Danio rerio: one gene and its partners. The protein of the gene in region 1 interacts with the protein of each later gene in a pairwise test. Links are inferred from orthologs where the notes say so. Each region holds a gene or a part of one and is shown in the gene's direction. Other genes may lie near its edges. The genes, in order: zyx, imp3, vaspb, tuft1a and cass4.

Region 1 (4,169 bases):
GACTGTTTTACATGGATTTATTAATCATTCTTACTTTTCAAAGAACGTGAACTGTCATAGTTTATTAAAAACGCAAACCCCTTGCTGAACATCAGTTGCACCCTCAGCAAATCTCCTAATACCTGCAGCACGAGGACTTTATGATAATTTATGAGAATCAATAGTTGTGGATTTGTTCTGCAAAATATGTGACTTTGTTACTGCATCCTAAACGACTAAAACGAAATAACTAAAGCATATATACTGGGCGAGAGCACTTCTCTTCCTGTTAAGCTGAACAGTTGCATCATTGATAAAGTAAGCATGCTTAGGTTCAGTAGGTAAAGATGCAGTGTAAGGCAGGCTGTCTAAGGAGGGGGAGGCAGGCCAACCTCGCTTTAGCACGGATCGAGGCAATTGTGCCTAGCGGGAGTCCCTTATAGGGACTGTTGCTAGATTATGAAACATGTATGAAATGTGTTGATGTGTTCAAAAACTGTATATGGTCACTCAGCCTTTTCAAACTTTGTTTTTACCCTTAATTTAAGAAACTTGAAAATGGAAGCATTGTAATAATGATATGGCCAGTCCAGAGTCCCTTATGGTGGGTACAGCATATGCCTATTATAAATAATGTCAACATGAATTCAGGTTTAGACAAAAAGCCAAACAAGAAAGAACTTGTTTAGATGGAGGGATGATGTCATTCCAAGAGACATGTAGTGGGAGGGCTGTAAGAAACATGAGTAGAGGAGGTAGAACAGTCCAACAGTTTCATTAAAAACAAAATAGTTTTTTGGTTCACAGAAAGAGAGGTTTACTAAAACACGACAAGGAGACAGGTATAAGTCAAAGCTGATTGCTATATTTTTATTTAATTAGCTACTTTGCCGTGGCTTTTGTGCATAACTACTGAAGTAACAAATTGGCACAAAATCCAAACAGTATACTTATAAATATATATATATATATATATATATATATATATATATATATATATATATATATATATATATATATATATATATATATATGAAAGTATATGAACTATATAGAAAAAACAGAACACCCTATATCTTACAAAATTTTGAAAACCCTGCTATTATAACAGAATTAAAAGAGCAGTTTATAAAGATTATTTCCTATTTTAAATTATGTTTGATGACCAGAATAATTTATTTAACCAATTATGTTTTCTCTTTATAAATAAATAAATTCATTAATTAATCGCAGCAAATTCATACATACATATTGTGCAGATCTCTTTTAACAGTAGTTACCATTGGCTTCAGTTTTTGTCCCACCTCCAGCGGTCATGCGGAATGCGGAAGCGTCAACCGGAAGTGTGTCTAGAGTCGGTACATTAGGAAAAAGTTTATGTGAGCGGAGCAGATTCACTGGTTGACGTCCCCTCTAGAGCTTCCTAGTTTTAACAGCATGGTGCTTAACGCCTATACAGCAATATAAAGTGGTATAAATTAAGAAAGGATATTCACAAAGAAGGATATTTGTCCATAAAAGCCCCGTAAGGGTTGAAATCAGAGGCGGTTTCTGCATTAGACAATCTGTATCTACTGCTTAACAGCATCTTTTACGAAGAAAACGAACAGTAAGTGTCTTTTCCACATCTTTTTTTTTTCTGACGTTTGTTGGTTTTCACACACTGCTATCTGCATTCGCATCAAAACCTCAAACACATTCGGGGTGGTTTGTAACGTTAGAAATCGATTAAGTTAAATAGCACAATTGTAAGTCGTGGTGTTTTGTATTTAAAATGCAAACGCATAGTGTCTTCATTATAGCACTGATATAAGTGAAATAATATGATCTAAAATGTTTATATAAAAGGTGAGGGGTGGGGCGCGTGGGTTAAAATTGTTAATTGTGTAATATTATTCATAGATGTGACGTTAACGTTATATGTAAAGATTCATGAGTGTGTTTGTCATTTAACACAATTGGTTTTCTTTTATTGAATTCAAATATAGAGCTGTATTTCACTGGTTTTCCAGTCAGATGTCCATATAAGGTGAAAGCATCTTGTTTTCCTTTGCTCGCACTGCTGTTATGTCTGATTAAAAACGATCAGGAACAGCGAACTTACACAAGTTTCCGAGTCTAAAGAACAAGACCACAATTACATCATTTCAAAATTTAAAGCGAGGATGGTGTTGTGAATGAACGAATAAGTTTTCTGGGTGGAGTGCCTGTAAGAATGACTATGGGATTTACTGGCCTTTAGGCAACGCAAGTGTGTTTTAGGATTTTCCAGTTTAATAAGCATGTGTGGTGAATGCGTCTATCGTACTCTAATGGGAAATACAGTGAGCTCCAACATTTACTTATGCTGTTTAAATAATTGTTCCCCTTTCAATTATATATATATATATATATATATATATATATATATATATATATATATATATATATATATATATATATATATATATAATTATTATTATTTTTTTTTTTGGAAGGACATTTATGTATTAGCAAATTGGTAGGCAGCAGGTCACATTAGGACAAAAAGTTTGACAACAACACTGTAGTGATTTTTGAACCACTGCTCATGCTTTCTAAACAACTGTTGGTCTTCAAAGTGCTTTCTAAACGTTTTATTGGTCTTCAAAGTGCATCCACATGACCTGTTAACAAATTCTACACAGGAAAATGTTATCTCTTATACCTGTTGTACATGATTGTGGATTGCTATTTAATGTTTGTTTTAAAGTATTAATAATACTTATTATTGTATTAAATGGCTTGTTCATATATAGATAGGTGGTGGAATGTATAGTCAGGTAAAAGTACCATTGATTGCCAAAAAATTTGTGCGAGTAAAATATCTGTTCTGATTACTATTCACTTTACTGAGTAAAAGTCCTTCTAAAGGTACTTAAGAGTAGTAAGTGTGTTACTGTGTTCACAACGAAGGCAGTGTGAGAGGCAAAGTTCGCTCTTGCCGCCCTGACGACAACGCTGTCTTCATAGCTAAGCCGGAGAGAGCTTCAAAATTCACTACATTGAAATGTTCACATATTCTACATTGAATATATCTGAAATGTTCTAAAGCAGCAATACTGTCATTATAGTTAGTGAGATTCCATTTTTTTTTAAGGAGAAAAACGTATATCAATAATCAAAAACAAGCGCTTGGGAACAACTGTGGTCAGAACCAAAATTCACAGGACTGTCTAGGCTTGGGTGGTAGTCAAATTTTGATACTGTCAAACCTCCTCCCTATTTTACCTCGGTATCCGGTATTACTGTGCATATTGTAAAAAATTATTACGAAAGGCTCAGACAGCATCACCAAAATGTTGTCTGGAGCCTAAACCGCGCGTGCTCTCTTGGGATCGATATTGTTAGACCGCGTGCCTTCTCTCAAATTACACCAGAGTTACCGACCGCTTCCGCACTTTATTCGGAAATTTATTCCTGCACCGCAAGAAATCTGGACTGGTCCCGCGATACAGCAGAGGGAATGCAGACCTCTAGTTCGTATTTCCCACGTCTCCCTCGGTCGAAACTGGAAATACTGACAAACTGCAAGTCACTTGGTGCACGACTCACCATCTTACCTCACCTCTCTCTCTCCCCCACATTGTTCCGTGATGACAATCATGCATAAGCATTTGTAGGCATTAAGTAAATAATATTTATTATTTAATAAATGTCTCCTATTTAAGTGCGTTGTTTTTTATGATGGTAAAACGGTATTGAAATTGACACTTATGCTATTTTTAGATCCCGCAGTATGCCATATTACCGTATTACTTCCCAAGCCTACTGTGTTCCCTGGAATTTTCTCAAGTTGTGGGTTATAAAATCAACTTGATTTCAACTCTCCTCGATGTCCACACCAGCGAAGATGAGCCACGTTGCTCTTCGCTGCTTATCGCTCCCATTGAAAATAAATGACTTCTGGGTCCGTTTTTTCAAAAGGTTTAATCTGGGTAAAATTGATACGAATTTAGTAATTCTGTTTTTGCAATCCATGATCACTTAATCCAGCTTACTTTTTGAGCCAGTTTTTCAAAGCAACATCAGATTGGATCAATCTGATCAAGGTAGGAACTTTTCTGGACCATTAAATCTGGATAACCAGTGCTCAAACAGGATGGGAAATCACAATTTAGAACTATAGATATGTAAAGAGCAACAAGTAGAATAGCCAGTGTGGGGTTAAT
Region 2 (3,999 bases), on another chromosome or scaffold:
AGACTGAGACTCTGAAGAGAAGGCAAAATGGGGATGCCAATGAGTACATCAGAGGGTTTCTTAAAGGGGCATTTACCACATGATGGGGTGGACAGCAATTTCAAGGACACGTGCAAAATGATTAATAATATTATTAAAAAGAAAATTAAATTTATTGAAATTTATTTTTTTGTCAAATAAAGACTCTGTTGCATACAGTCTGTATTAATGATATTACATATAGTTCAAGTTCCAACACTTAAAAAAATATATGAAAGAAATTCCCCAGAGCACATTCTCACTATCACCATCAAGATATCAAATTTCTTTCTCTCTTTATTTCAACACACTCGCAAAGCTAAAACGTTTGTTCGTAGTTTATAGGTTTCTGGTTCTAAATTCCAAAATCAAACTTTCTGTCAGCTTTCCGCGCATAAAGTAGGCTACATGAACGTCCTTACATTTAAATGAAAATCGCTGTCATGATTGAATTTCCAAGTAGCACAGGCTATTATAATGTTCGTAATGTCTGTAAAGAGCTTTAATTTGTACTGTACCCTACCTGTTCGAGGCTCACACACGCCGTCCAATGGATGGATATGATCGCCATTTCTTATAAACATTCACTTCCTTTACCTCACTTTCTGCAAAGATGAAACTAAGGTTTGATAGTGATTTATGTCGTGTCGGTTTTCCTGTCATGTGAAAATACATTTTTTCCCCCAGTGACATCTCCTGATGACTTAGATCAATTATAATACGTTTACGTCAGCGCAAAATCTGTCTAATTTGATCAGTTTACATACTGCAAAGCTGCGAGTAGCCAAAGTTTTGAAATGAAAATGTATAGTATATTTTGCTACTTAATTTATTGTTTTACTGTTTATTTGGCCATTTTATTTGTTTTGTGATTTTTTATTATTAATATTATTATTATAAAGTTATAATTTTAAGTAAAATGTGTTATTTGACAGGCTGTGTTGTTTGATCAGTTGGATTCTTTATCTGTTAAAGTCGCTCTGGATAAAAGCGTTAATTAATTAATAAATTAATAAATAGATTAATTGATAAATGTATTTATTTATTTATTTGTTTATTTATTTGTTTATTTAAAAATTATAGTGTTTCCCTCCTGAACACTGTGCGGCGATATCGAGCTTAACAGCTACGTTTTTACAGAAAACCACAGTGAATAAAAAGCACGCGTGCGTAAGCTGAAGTGAGCAAGTTATTAACACGTTTAGCCATAAATATAGCCCGTGTTTTTTAGCAAAATGGTACGTAAATTAAAATTTCACGAGCAGAAACTCTTGAAGAAAGTTGATTTTATTAACTGGGAGGTTGACAACAATATACACGAGGTTAAAGTGTTGAGAAAATACCATATTGAGAAGAGGGAAGATTATACCAAGTGAGTAAAGAAAATGCTTCTATCAATGACTGTGTTTCTCTGAAGTTATGGGTCTAATACATCACTGTGAATAAAACGCGGCTTATCAATTAATGCATTCGTGATTTCTCTTTAGATACAACAAACTTAGTCGAAATATCAGAGAATTGGCGCAGAAAATACGGGACTTGGACGCAAAAGATGGATTCAGATCTCAGAGTACAGCCCTTTTCTTGGAAAAACTGTAAGTTTGGGAACCTGTCACATTTTATTGTCATGAATATACAGAAATTGTTTTAGTTTAGAATATATAAAAGCATAAGCGATAATAGACAAGTTTATTTATATAGCAGATTCCATACACAAAGGTAATCTAAATACTTTACATAAACATGAATAAAAGAAAGAAGAAAAGAAAAACAGCAAAGAATAAAAATGATTAAAAACAGGTTTAAAAGGAATCTTATGAACTTTATTATATTTAAAGTTATTTGTTTGTTTGACGAAATTTAATTTGTATTAAATCTTAAGTCTATTAATGTTATTTAATAATTCTAAATCTAACTATACTCGAAACAAGATTTTATTTCTATACAAACTATTGTAATACATGTTTATTAGCGCTATCTGTAAGTCATGGTAAAATTTATGATAGATAAAATAGATGTCTTATATTTTTTGTTCAGAATAAAAATTGTACAGTAAATAAAATGTGAATCTGTATATTATTCCGATTTTTAAAAGCTTGTTGACCTTGGTTTTTTGTGTACACCTCATTCTGTAAGGAGTTTACTAAAGTTTTAGTAGTTTCTACATTTGTAAGATTTCTGTTTTGCAGATACAGTGTCGGTTTGATTCCCACCAAACAGAACCTCTCTCTCGCAAATGAAGTGTCAGCATCTGCATTCTGCAGGTGAGTAAAGTTACTGTGCTTTATTTAATTATTCCAATATGTTGATTTGATAATCAAGAAACATTAATTATTAATGTTTAGGGTCCCCATGCTTTCGTGGACACCAGATTCAAAGACTTATTAAATCACTAATCATTTTAAATTAAGCACCTTTAAAATTTGCACCTCCAGCATACATACATACATACATACATACATACATACATACATGCATACAAACACATATATAGTGCCATGAAATAAAGCCCTTCATGTACTTTAGAGTAATGATGATGTTTTGAATGTGCTACTCTGTTTTAAACAGTCATGTTCAAAGAACTTTAAAACAATTTGATGAATTCAATTCTGGTAATCTTCAAAAGCGGTTTCTGAAATATTGTTGTGCATTATTTTTCATAGTTCTTGTACTAGATTTAAATGTAAGGTTTTTAAATAAAAAAATTCTTTTTTTGTTGTTGTTGAGTTTTTGAAAGCAGCACCGTACATTTGTTGAAATGACACCATAAACTTTCAATTCAAACATTCAAATTTCAATATATTTTTTGATTTGAATAATAAAATAATTTACACAAGTCCTGCACACTGACAACTAATATGTGAGTGTTTTTATGCAGTGCAGGAGATGCAGACAATTTTTGAATGTTGTTCAATGTTGTCTTTTCTACAGGAGGCGGCTTCCCACAATCATGCTGAAACTGCGCATGGCTCAGAACCTAAGGAACGCCATCACCTTCATTGAGCAGGGCCGTATCCTTCAATCACAAGTCTTGCTGATCTCTGCATATGTTCATATTCTTATATTTAAATGGGTGGATGATGTCGTTTTGATCAAAATCAGGCCAAAAGGAAATTAGTTTGGAGTTTAAAATGGCTAGGCAAATTGAAGTTTCTGGAAAAGTTGATTCACCTGCTAAATGCCTCTAAACTGCTCTTGTTTACACCTGGTCACTACATGCATTTTTTCTGTGATCGGATAGCTAAATGGCCCTTAAAACGCATTTGAGACTGATATAAATCAGATTTGCTTAGACCATTTCCTATGGTGGTTTCCAGACAAAACGTGTCTAAATGAATTTCCTAAAATTGGTTTAGAAAAGAGGGGATTAAAGTCAAAAACCTGACTTCAATGAGCCGAACTAAACATCCACGCTTAAATTGGTTCCATATCAGAAAGTTGAAGATCATTTGATCTAACTAATCTGAGTTCAGTGTAAATAATGTAGATAGCTGTTCGTGCACATTACTGTCGCGAAACCCTGAAGGTTGAGCATAGATGCATCCTAGAGATAGTTGTGTGTAAAAATCCCTATAGCTCAGCAGTTTCTGAAATACTCAGACCAGCCTGTCTGGTACCAACAACAATACCACGTTCAAATCACTTAAATTACCTTTCTTGCCCGGATTCATCAACCGGTTTGCAGCTTTAAAGTCATTCTTTAAGAAATGTAGCCTACTTCTTTATATCAGTCAGTGCTTTCTTAATATATTTTTTATTTAATTATGTAATTCATATGCTACATAAATATAGCAAAGTACACCCCTCACAGATCAATATTTTGAATTAATATATCTACAAAATGCTTTATGTTTTTGCATATACATTAAATTATTCAGTACCAAAGCAAAATTTGGAATAAATCTAACAACAAATAAACTAAAGATCACAGTTCAAAAATTTGTACACATAATTAATATGTTGAGAGAAAATATCAAGTAA
Region 3 (3,569 bases), on another chromosome or scaffold:
GCGATTTTGTCATGGACATTACACTTACTTTGCTCAACTCTCGCTTTTGGCTTTATGAAGTTTTTACATTGTTTATTTGTCATATTTGTTGTATTATTAGAAAACAAAGTAAACATTCTTACTTGATATTTTTAATTGTATTTTAAAGGAATAAAAATACATGTACCAAATTTACATGTAAATAAAGTGTAAATTAGGGCCTGGTGATACTAAAAAATCTCATCACAACGCAAGTCATCTGCAGTGTTGGGCACATTTCTTTAAAAGAGTACTTGGTTGCTGGCGCCAATAGCCTAGTGGTTAAGTGCACCAACATATAGCTCCATGCTGCTCACAGTGCTCGTGGTCCTTTGCCGACCCTTTCCCTCTCTTTGCATTACAAATATGCTCTATTTCGGAGCTAGGCTGAGCGGAATTACAATGATTTTAAGTATTGTACGATAAGTTGATATGTTAATTATTGTGACAGGCCTATGCACATGCAAGAGTATTAAGAGTTTTTTTTAATATGTTTTATGCAATATGTTTTACGAAATTGAGCTGACCAATATATTGAACTGACCAATGAAGTCGGCTGTAGGTTTGTGCTTTAATGATTCCGGAAAATGTTAACAACAATAATAATAATAATAATAATAATAATAATAGTAATAATAATGGTAATTCCCTATTAATTGCATGCAAAAGCCTTAGAAGCTTTTTAGTACTTCTCCATAGATATGAGATTGAATAAAGTCACGTTTGCTGTAAATGGAAGTACTAAAATGAGTTGCAGCACTAATATTGAACACTCTTTTCTTTTCTTTTACCTTCTTTGTTATTTTCTTGGCCTGCTGATCTTCAGGATGATTCCGACACTCAAGGTCCAGGCGGTAAGAACAAACACATTTTTGATTTGACATTTGTGATCAATTAGACACTCAAGAATATTCTTAATGTTTACCTCTATCATTTTTATTAACAGACTTTAGAAGACCATGGGAAAAATCCGCCACCATGCCCAGGTAAACACTCATTCACAAACTTTAGATGTGTGTTAGTTACATATTGATCTTGTTTAAAGCAAGCACCAGCACTGAATGTCCTGAAGACTCCAGCAGTTGAGTGTGACTCTCTATAGGGCCCTGTAGTATAAAGTGAAGTGTATATATACAGTACATGTCTCAAACAGGACTAACTCAGCACCCAGAAGTCTGGAGTCACCCTCTTCATCTAGTCCACTTGCCAGGTACTTTTACTACAGTATGCGCTCTTGTGGTTACGGTCTAACATTGTAAGCGACTCCCCGAGTTCTCCTGCTTTCAAATACTTGCATGCAGTGGGGGAAATAAGTATTCAACGAGTCACCATTTTCTCAGAAAAAAATATTTCTAAAGGTGCTGTTTTGAATTTTTCCACAGATGTTGGTAACCACCAAAAGAAATTCACATGTGCAAGGAAAGCAAAACTAATTGGTTTACAAATATAGTTATGTGTAATAAAAGGAAATGACGCAGGGAAAAAATATTGAACACATGAAGAAAGGAAGGTGTAGAAAGGCAGTGAAAGCCCAGACAGCAGCTAAAAATCTCACTGCAGTTCTTCAGCAACCCTCTGCTCTTCCTCATTGTAAGTTAACAGTGCTGTTTCAGTCCAACATCTACAATATCAGGAGGATGAAGAGGATCCAGGGTGAACATTTCAGCAGGACAATGATTTAAAACACAGCCAAGGAAACTCTCAAATGCTTTCAGAGGAAAAAAATCAAGCTGTAGAATGGCCCAACCAATCACCTGATCTGAATCCAATAAAGAATACAAAATCAAGATCACATTTGATAGACGAGACCCACAGAACCATCAAGATTATTACTCTTTGTTGAAGAAAAAAAAATATTCTCCACATGAGAGGCATCTTTAAGCTTAATCAACTCAAAATTCTTCATATAAAGTATTAAATACATTTCAGTAGTTCAGTACTTTCTCCTTTTGTCATTTCATTGTTATTACACACAACTAATATAAAAAAAAAATCTTTTGTTTCTTTTTTATGTTTGTATTGTTTGGGTTTTATCAAAATCTGGTTCAATTCCATGTCAACAGCTCCTTTAGAAATATTATTCTAAGAAAAAAACATGATGCGATCAATACTTATTTCCCCCACTGTAAATATCCCTAACATGTCTGTGGTTTACTGTAATTTGAACATATAGGTCAAGTTTTAAAGTGGTTTAAATCTATTGAAGTCCTTTATATCTTTGAATGTAGCTTTTTTCTCTACATGTGTTCTGTTACTTTAACAAAAGCTAGCATAGATTTTTACCATGATTTACAGCCACTATGTTATTCAGCGTTACAGTTTAAGCTTATGTATCAAAAAATCTTTAATAAGAATAGATATTTTTGGTCTGAATAAATGTTAACATGAATAGATGTTTCCAACCAAATATGCTAATTAGATTTTATTTTTATGCTTAAAACATTTGCGAATAAAGCGCAATTTTCATCCAAAGAGTCATTTACTTCCTGATAAACTGCCACCAAATATGACAGAAAAATGTAATTTGCTGAGCTAGGAAAAGCCACTGTGGGCATTTTATCAAATAAAATAAGTAACTTGCGGCTTAGAAGACGAAACGCAATAAACACACAGTGGATTTTAGAGGCGAGTTTAAACGTTTTTTTAAAATGTAGTGATTTCTTACCACTCCAAATTTTTATCTGATGTCATTACTGACACGTTTTGTCATGTTAATGAGTCCTAGCTTAATAAAGGTACACTGAAAAAAAAAGGATTCACTGGATTGGAGTGGTTGCAAACAGTTTATATGGGCTGAATTTAAACAAACAAATTTATTTGATGGCTCGTTTCCACTGACTGGTACGGTACGGTTCGGGTCAGTACGGGTCATCTTTATCTCACTTGCGTTTCCACTACCAAGGGTACCCTTTTGGTGGGCGTGGTGTATGACAGAAAGTTTCAGTGGAGGTCATTTTCGCTCAAGAAAATGTCTACAGTAAAGCTGTACCGGTTGTTCATATACCTGTATTATTTGAGAAGCACTTCTCACAATGAGATGCTTTATATACATAAATACTTCTGTATAAATGTTTATTACTAACTTTTCTATGAACAGGATTTGATTATAACTACAGATCAATGACAGTGTGAAATAGTCTACTGTAACGTCTGCAATTATATAAATAAAATAAAATAAATGCAACATGTATGAACAAATACAGACCCTTACAGTCGCAGATATGTTACCAACTACAGAAGAACTACACACAGCAGACATTTAGTCCTTATTTTGGCTCAAAAACAACACAAAATATAGCCTACAGTCAGTGAAAACCTCTCATCTGTTTCTGTCATCTTCAGCAGCACATGAAGCCTCTGTTAGGGAGTATTTCCATCATTCTGACTTCATATTAGTCCAGAAGGCGATTATGATAGTTAAACATGGCAGTTTGTTCACGTTTGCTGAAAAAATTAAGTGCTCCTTTTTTCCGGCTTCTCCTTTGTTTTTTCGCGCTTCACTCTCACGTTCGTCTATTTCTGATAGGATCGGGTTTCAAAAGCACGTCAAT
Region 4 (4,258 bases), about 6.3 Mb from region 1:
TCAGAATGTAATACCGGCCCATGCCTATCTTTGATATACAATTATTTTGTTTAAAGAGTTAAAATGGAAGGACAAATTTCTAACAATTTTTAATCATTGGATTATGGATCTTATGTACCATCTTACAATGGAGATGTTTCAGTACTTCACCAAAGGTCACAGTAAAAAATTACATTCAATTTGGCAGCCAGTGGTGATATAGAGCAAATGGATCCAAACATTTGCAGTTTGGCTGTTAATTATTTGTTTTTCTCTTTTTTCTTCCCTCCCCTTTATAATTTTTTTTTATTTATGTTTTCATATTATATATATATATATATATATATATATATATATATATATATATATATATATATATATATATATATATATATATATATATATATAGCACACACACATACATACATACAATAGATGAGTAAATATATAAGGGAACTTGTATTTGCTAACATATGTATGTATATTTCATGATATGATATAAACAGATTAAGATTGTGTATAATACTGCAGTGGGGCGAGAATAAATTGTCTCTATTTTTTAAATTGTTTTGAAATTGTTTAATTGAAAAAAAAATGTCAATAGAAACATCTAGAAAAAATAACTATGCTGCAAAACTGCTTATCAATCAGTCCTCCTCTAATACCAGTTGTGTCTGGTTTGGACCACAATGATGCAAAGTTGTTAAAAATGTACTTTCAGTGTGCAATACATGCACTAATTATAGCCTGTCACAAAAAAAATAAATGACATAACGTCAAATGGAATGGAGATGAATGTTAAGTCACACATAGCCTACGTGCCATTACTTAATAACTCTCATATTGCATTTTCCCTCTTCACCTATATATTCTTTTTATAATAAACTATCCTGTTTAAAATACATATTTAACTATTAACCTTCTACAATCACAGACAGTTTAGGGCTTTAACTAAAAAAATCCACTACATAACTAAAATGACCACATGTACTCCAACCTTGTACGTGGACTTGTCTTTTGTTTCTGACTTACCTGAAGTAGGCCTGACATTTTTCATCTATTCTTTAAAAAAATAAAAAATAAAAAACTGTCTAGCTTTCTACACGTTCTGCCTATTTGTATTGCTTAATTTCCGTAACCTCGGGATAGTGGAATGAGATCGTGTCTCTCAGGTGAAACACATCAACATGTTGCGGTCTCCCGCGGGCTGAGGCGAAACAAACGGAAAGACATGCCGAAGAAATGAAGTCACACGACAGATTTCACGCTATGACGCGTTACAACGACCCGTGAAACCTGCGAGGAAGGGAGGGAGATGTAGGAGAGGGAGGGGAGTGTCTATCAAAACCGTTCAGCCTGCGGTGAAAGCTGCACCGAACCTATTTATTATTCAGCGTATCGGACAACACAACAAAACACTCCGCGCGCGCTGAGGGACGTTCAGCTTTTGCTGCTCTTATTTAACTTATTTAACTTTTAATAAAGAAACGCTAAAATGAATCGAATGGGAAGTATGTGCACGTTTGATGAAATCCGAATGGATGACAGACTGGTATGTACTGTAGCAACTTATTCACTACTTAGCCTATATATATGCCTAAAAGGATGATTTGCTGACTATATTTTTTCTCTTCAAGACTAAATAGTTTATATAAATAAACCAAAGAGATACATCATGCTACACCACACTAACACCCATCATGACTTTATTGTGGTAAAAGTGTAGACAGCTTGTTTTCTGGTGCTTGTTTATTTTGTATTGTTATTATTTGTATACACACAAATAGGCTACCATTGTTAAACTGTTGCAAAATCATGACTGTTTAGAGGTTATGGTTTTACCACAATAACCATGTGTTTTGTTAAATCTTCAGTAAGATTTTTTTGTTTTGTTTTAAAGTGTAATTTTAAATTTATGTATTTAGTATTTATAAAAAACACAGAACTGGATATTTCATGTAATTATACATAATTAATATTAGTACATTTGTAACTGGGGCACTGTAAAGCGTTTCTGTATACTGAATAAAAACAAGTATTTATTGAAATTACACTTCTTGCCAGATTTAATATTCGCATGTTAAGACTTTTTGCTTAATAATATAATTTCAGAAAAAAAAGTGTTCTTTGCAAATACTAAATAGGGAAATTAACTATCAAAGTACACCTTTGTTCAAAGTCATACGGACGTGCGATTTCAGAGCGAATATTCAAAGTAGCATGGTAAACACAATGTGGACCATTACACAAGTTGTCACTGTTCAAAAATGATTGAATGTGTGAATATAAAACCAATTTTACCTAAATTCATGCCAGAGGTTTCTGGGTCATTTTCCCACCATGCTCATAAAAGTGAACTTTGATCCTCTGTAACGTATTTCTGCCTGGTGAAATATTAAATGTGCTCTGCATTCCAGATTAGGAAATTATCTACTGCTTATGGTTTTGTCCTTCATTCATCCATTATTATCAAATTTAAGTTTGTGAAAGCAGTTTATCTAAATGTATTTTTTTAATAGATTAACAGAAGTGACAAGCAGCACTAAACCTCATTTACCTCCACTCGCCCTTCTCTGTTCACAGCAGATGCTTAATCAGGTTTAATGTCACTTACTAGATATTTGGTTTCGCTAATATCCTGTGAGAGGCATTTCTGCTAGCACAGGGGGTAGTTAATCCAAATACCAGCTGTATTTGTGTCTGCCAATTCACCAGTATACTGTATATATAGAGTTTTTATATCGAGTTAGATGATCATTAACTTGATCTTTCCATCTAGGTTGTCATATTGATGACCGTTGCTGAGCAGCCTTGTGCGCTTACTGGTTTTATAGCCTATTTGTACCACACAATATAAGCTAAATAACAGAAAGGTCTGCATTTTGCACGCAAACTGGCCAAAGGAGTAGGAAGCAAGACAGGGCTCAAGCATTTACTTGATTGTAGCAGGTTTCCTTCCTTTTTAATATAATGGCCATTCAGTCTGACTTAGGAATTCAACAGGTCTGATGTGATAAAATACAGTATTGTACTGTATGTTAAGGCTACTCTTTTGCATGAATTTCATTTGCAAATATGAAAACAGAACATTGAGTCTTTTTTCAACAGGAAGCTCTTTAATGGACCCACTAAGAACAGCAAGGTCAAAGACCTACACTATGGGTTGCATTCTTAGAGTCACATGTTTCCTTTTTTAAATGACTTTCAATGATTTTGTGTTGAAGAAGAAAAAGCAAGCAAATCAAAATAATCCTATTTTTAATGGAAAGTAAAATTCTTTAAAAAACTAGTGTTGTAGCTAATTTGTTTTCCAAGTTTTGTCAGATGACCTCAGGTTACTGTATACAAGGCGTTTCCCATTTTATAAAACAGCTACACAAAAAAAAAAAAGTTTGTTCAACCTGGTGTGTACTGTATGTGTGTTTACTTTCTCTGTCCTTCATTTACTTGCTCATTCACCGCTCCTTCAATCAATACCTCTTTCACTTGTGACATGAAATTCCGAGTCAAACAACAAATAATTACCTTGTGTTTACACAATCTTTATGTGGCGTCTGTGAAAGGAAAGGTCTTGCCTCCCTCATCAAGTTCTCATTATGAAGCAGGTTGTATGATAAGCATTACCTCTGTATGTCTATGATAATTATCATTGCGTGATATACAGGTCTGTACATAGAGAACAGTAGCAATAAATATGTACACAACATGAAATTTGGCTTATCATATTGCCTTGAGGAGTTACACAGAATGCTGTGGTAAAATGTCCTCTTGCTTCACTCACCTTGTCATGTCAAGTCTTGGAAGTAATTGTACAGTACACAAATGATTATTACGGCACTGCGTAAACTCTTTTGTGTATTAGAAATGTAAATGATTTATTATTATTATGATCATTATTATTATTAATAATATTATTATATATATTACGTGTAAGTTGTGTGTTTTTACTATACTAAAACACGTAATACAAAAAAAAAAAACTAAAACAAATTAAATCAGACAACTGTAATAATCTTATCGTCTCTGGATTCATGATTTATAGTTATCTGTTTGAGTAAAATTTAGTTTTCAACCACAGTAAATTTAAACATTTTATTCTAACCAGTTGTGATTTTTCGAAAAGAAAAGATTTTTTTTTTCTTTTTTGTTATAAATAAAATGAAAATAAAACCAATGATGTTACTTTAATATGTTAATTTTTGTTTCATACTATGTATACAGTTCTCAGTATACTGTATATGAGTACCCCTTACAATTTTTTTTATTAATATTTTCTGTT
Region 5 (4,243 bases), on another chromosome or scaffold:
AAGAAATGCTGACATTTTTTTTTTTACTTTTTTAAACATCATGGGATAAATTTGAAAAACAATTAAAATTTCAAAGACTGAATAATTTTGCCTTTAAATGTATGTCATTCATATATAATACTTACCTTTGAATAAGCTCTATTGTGGCAATACTTGACTTCTGAAATAGGTTTAAAACATAAAAGAAACAAAAAACACAAACGCGAGCATGCACACACACACACACACACACCCACACAGAAAGAGCTGCAGTGAAATGTGTTACTCTCTCATCAATACTGAACATGTATAAAAAACTGAACAGCAAAAAAAAAAATAATAATAATAATTAATTTTTTTAAAGTTTTTTTTTATTTTTTAAGTTTCAAATAATTATAAAAAAAATAAGCTTATCAAAAGAACACACACATACTTTAGATATGGATGGAAACATGTTTGTCAAAGCCGCAGCCGAATCTCCCATCTGTCAGTGATCGTCATCTTCGTGCCATGATCAGTCCCCTAATCCTCATCGCTTCGCTAGTGTCTGAAGGAAAGGCGCGTTCACATTTTACCGGATCTGGACCTACATATTTGGTGATGTACCGTATTGATGTCGACGCATTCAAGCAAAAGATCCGAACCCAACACGATTCATTTATTCAACTTTGGGCTGACTATTTTGTTAAAGAATCAATAGTTTTAAACCTGGTGCACTTTCAGATTTAAACCTCAGCTGGGTGTTTCATTAGTGCTGTGCTCCACACTGCATAAAAGATCATTCAGTTTCATTTGGAGTTTCTGTGCTAGCCTGCTGATCCTGAGGGCGTTAGCACTTTCCCTTTTGTTTTTAGCTCGTTTTACACTGGAACAACTAAATTAATGTAATATTACAACATCAATGATGTAAAAGAAATCTCATGAAATTAAAAATGGTTATTAATACTTTGTTTTTAAATAGAAATATGCCCCTTGTTAAAGTAAATAAGCCCCAATCTCTCGGTACAGGGGGTAAATTTTGCATTTCAAAAGAAATAACTTTCTGGCCCTGGCCACGACCTACCGTATATCATTGGTTTTTCTCCACACCCCCACCCACTGCCATAATCTGTCGTCCCAGCAACAAAATCCCGCCCCTGAAGAATCCATACCATTAAAACAGGAACTCAGCTCAAGCATGTGCAGCCCAGAGTAAAAATAAAACAATAAAAATAGTGGAAGTCATAGTAAAACTGCCCGACTTTGTCTTTCTCTTTTTGGAAAAGAACTTTTTTTTGTTTCAAGTTTAACCAACTTCCTAAAAACATGTATTTTCTGCAGAAACTGGAGGAGGAGATGTTGTCAGACAGGGCTGTGATTGGCTGGAATTAATGAGAGCGAGACGTCATCATGAGTGAGCGCTTCAGACCCCGCCCCTTATTGTGAACTGTCTGCGCTCTCCGTTTATTTGTCCAATATGTGTGTGTGTATGAGTGTGTCTGTGTGAGAGACTGAGAAGAACGTGCAACATACTTTTAACAGACATTAAAATTACAAACAGATTTAGATGCTAACCGTCAAGCCAACATGGACTTTTGAATGGGATTTATAAACTGCTTGAACTCAGAAAGATGGAGGTCGGTATTATTATTATTATTATTATTCATTTTAAAATCCTCTCATCTTCTTTCTGATGTGTGTTCAGACTTTCAGAATGAGTAGAAATGTTCAGAGAAAGCTTCAAGCGTGCTGTCAGGGTTTCAAACAAGATCCGGGTTTATTTTTTTCTCGCCGGTAAGCAACTGCTGGGTTTTCACCGTTCAGATGCGCTGTCAGCCGGTAACCCTTGCCCTCAGTCTCGCTCACAGCCCTAAATTTGCTGTGAAATGTGATGCCGCGAAGCCTGAGAGTGAAAGGAAGAGAGAATATATGGCACTTTATGACTGTCGTTAACACGAGCTGGGCTTTTGAAAGGAGAGGTTACAGCTTTAAGCGAGGAATGAAATCTCTGTTGTTGTAGGTGGATTTTTGGTAGGTTAACAACACTTTTGCTGTTGAATGAATGAAAAAAATCCTGGCTCTTTTTGGTGTATTTTGTGGTGTTGGTAGTGGTTTGTGTGTGTCGAAGTAAAGAACTTAGTGATAGTTCACCTTAAAATAAAAAATTTACTCACTATTTAGCTGACATCTTATTTAATTGAGCTATTTATTGAAAGAAACAAAAGTCCAGGATATATATATATATATATATATATATATATATATATATATATATATATATATATATATATATATATATATATATATATTACTTTCTTAATATTTTGTGGTGTGTGTATGAGGAGTGAAGAACTTAGTGATAGTTCACCTATAAATAAACATTTCTCACTATTTATTCTCCCTCAAATGGTTCCAAACCTGCAAATTATGTTGAACTAAAGCAGGGTGTGAATTACAGGGGGGTTTGGCGGGGATTGAGTACATCAAAACAAGTTATATGAGGGGAGGGGGGATTATTAATATTTTTAATAATTAAATGTATAATCACATACATTTGATCTCTCTATAATGGTGTATACCATTGTAAATGCATTATCGCACCAGTCAATGCTAGGAGAAATATCATTCAGACACATCATTTCTATAGTTTGACTTACAGTGGCCTTTAAAATAGTCACTAAATATCCCTCAAAACACTGAAAATGAAGTAAATTAGATGTAATTTATTAATTTGATTCACTGAAGCATGTGTTCCCCCCACCCCTACCCCAATCGTCAATGTATAATTCACACACTGCACTAAAGAATATCTCATGAAAAAAAGCTAAAAACCTGTCACTATTGACTTCCATAGTATGAAAAGATAATGGTTACAGGTTTTCAGCTTTCTTGAAGTATGTTTTTTTTGTGTGTGTGTGTTCAACAGAAGTAAGAAATTCAAACATGAACAAGTGAAGGGAGAGTATTTCCAGTTTTTGGTGACCTGTCTCTTTAATATTGCTGATTTGTGATTTTCATTTGTGACTTTGACCACGGCTGTGGTTTGTGATTTCACGCATGTCTTGCTCAAAGCCAGAATCAGTAAGAAGATCACAACAGGTGGCTAAATATTTTGCCCAGTATATGACATGCTGAGAGTATCAAGTGCAATTTTGCACAGTAAATAAAAAATCTGTTTATTAGCACTGTATTATTTTCAACAAAGATTTTTTTTTCGTGTGTATTTATACATTTACTTGCACTTTTGAAATGATCAGGCCATGATATCTGTTTCTAAAACTTTGAAGCATGAAGAAGAAACTTTGAAGAACAGATTTATAGGTTTATGAACCGCCTGTCCATTCTTTATTTTATGGATTTCTTAAGTGTAAATCTAAGATTTAGGGAAGCTATGTGAATTTATTTTATGAAATATGTTTTTTCTCTTGCTCTCCAAAGCTGCATTTTCTTTCAAAGTGCATTGAAACATTAATAGTGTCAATTATTTACTATTACTATTTAGTAAACTATTACTTAATGGAAAAAATGATGACTTATTATTATCTTATAATATTATCAAATAATATCTTATTTGAAACTTTAATGAAAAATTATCAGACCTTTATAAAAAAATTGACTCAAACCCAAACATGACTACATGAATAAAAGAAGTCACTCACTCACTCACTCACTCACTTTCCTTTAGCTTATTCCCTGCTTTATCAAGGGTCGCTACCGAATGAATCGCTAATTTCTCTGACATACATCTTTATCGACAGATGTCCTTCCATTTGCAACCTAGCCCTGAGAGTACAGTAATTCTAAGTATACTAAACCTTCAGTGCTGGAAAACACCTACACATTCTCTTATTCACACAATACTGCCAGTTTGGTTTATCCAATTCTACCAATCCAAACACTCCAAGGTTACCGATCCAAATGAAGTTACATTGCATGTGTTTGGCCTGTGGGGGAGACAGAAGGAAACCCACACATACACTGGAACACATGCAAACTCCACACAGAAAGGCAGCCTTCTTGTTGTTAGGGAACTTTGCTGACCACTTAGCCACCATGCCGCCTAAAATGAGAAGTATAGTCATATAGAAAAATGACACATAAATAGCTGTATACATGAGCATATACGTAGATATGTAAAACATAATTGTTACTATTTCTTACATTTTGAACGATTCAATGCAGCTTTTTCCGCATTAAATAATTAATTTCTTACAAAATCAAAAAGAAGAAGTCTTACTAGATCTAAAGCTATTAATGTTGCTTCTGTATTATATTTCATATGTCT

The links.
Region 2: the proteins of zyx (region 1) and imp3 interact in binary tests that used the Homo sapiens proteins (3 or more experiments, as listed by UniProt). The link is inferred for Danio rerio from reciprocal best matches to the Homo sapiens genes ZYX and IMP3.
Region 3: the proteins of zyx (region 1) and vaspb interact in binary tests that used the Homo sapiens proteins (3 or more experiments, as listed by UniProt). The link is inferred for Danio rerio from reciprocal best matches to the Homo sapiens genes ZYX and VASP.
Region 4: the proteins of zyx (region 1) and tuft1a interact in binary tests that used the Homo sapiens proteins (3 or more experiments, as listed by UniProt). The link is inferred for Danio rerio from reciprocal best matches to the Homo sapiens genes ZYX and TUFT1.
Region 5: the proteins of zyx (region 1) and cass4 interact in binary tests that used the Homo sapiens proteins (3 or more experiments, as listed by UniProt). The link is inferred for Danio rerio from reciprocal best matches to the Homo sapiens genes ZYX and CASS4.

Annotation. Positions count from the first base shown.
Region 1 is NC_133191.1:17,422,773-17,426,941, reverse strand, and holds the start of zyx (zyxin), read left to right. Parts: upstream 1-1,369; 5' UTR 1,370-1,588; intron 1,589-4,169. UniProt on the Homo sapiens protein: Adhesion plaque protein. Binds alpha-actinin and the CRP protein. Important for targeting TES and ENA/VASP family members to focal adhesions and for the formation of actin-rich structures.
Region 2 is NC_133177.1:10,337,463-10,341,461, reverse strand, and holds the start of imp3 (U3 small nucleolar ribonucleoprotein protein IMP3), read left to right. Parts: upstream 1-1,156; 5' UTR 1,157-1,253; coding exon 1,254-1,390; intron 1,391-1,505; coding exon 1,506-1,613; intron 1,614-2,207; coding exon 2,208-2,282; intron 2,283-2,949; coding exon 2,950-3,029; intron 3,030-3,999. UniProt on the Homo sapiens protein: Component of the 60-80S U3 small nucleolar ribonucleoprotein (U3 snoRNP). Required for the early cleavages during pre-18S ribosomal RNA processing. Part of the small subunit (SSU) processome, first precursor of the small eukaryotic ribosomal subunit.
Region 3 is NC_133193.1:43,694,988-43,698,556, reverse strand, and holds part of vaspb (vasodilator-stimulated phosphoprotein), read left to right. Parts: intron 1-844; coding exon 845-872; intron 873-964; coding exon 965-1,004; intron 1,005-1,171; coding exon 1,172-1,228; intron 1,229-3,569. UniProt on the Homo sapiens protein: Ena/VASP proteins are actin-associated proteins involved in a range of processes dependent on cytoskeleton remodeling and cell polarity such as axon guidance, lamellipodial and filopodial dynamics, platelet activation and cell migration.
Region 4 is NC_133191.1:23,754,949-23,759,206, reverse strand, and holds the start of tuft1a (tuftelin 1a), read left to right. Parts: upstream 1-1,416; 5' UTR 1,417-1,474; coding exon 1,475-1,531; intron 1,532-4,258. UniProt on the Homo sapiens protein: Involved in the structural organization of the epidermis. Involved in the mineralization and structural organization of enamel.
Region 5 is NC_133186.1:29,872,983-29,877,225, reverse strand, and holds the start of cass4 (cas scaffolding protein family member 4), read left to right. Parts: upstream 1-1,431; 5' UTR 1,432-1,589; coding exon 1,590-1,595; intron 1,596-4,243. UniProt on the Homo sapiens protein: Docking protein that plays a role in tyrosine kinase-based signaling related to cell adhesion and cell spreading. Regulates PTK2/FAK1 activity, focal adhesion integrity, and cell spreading.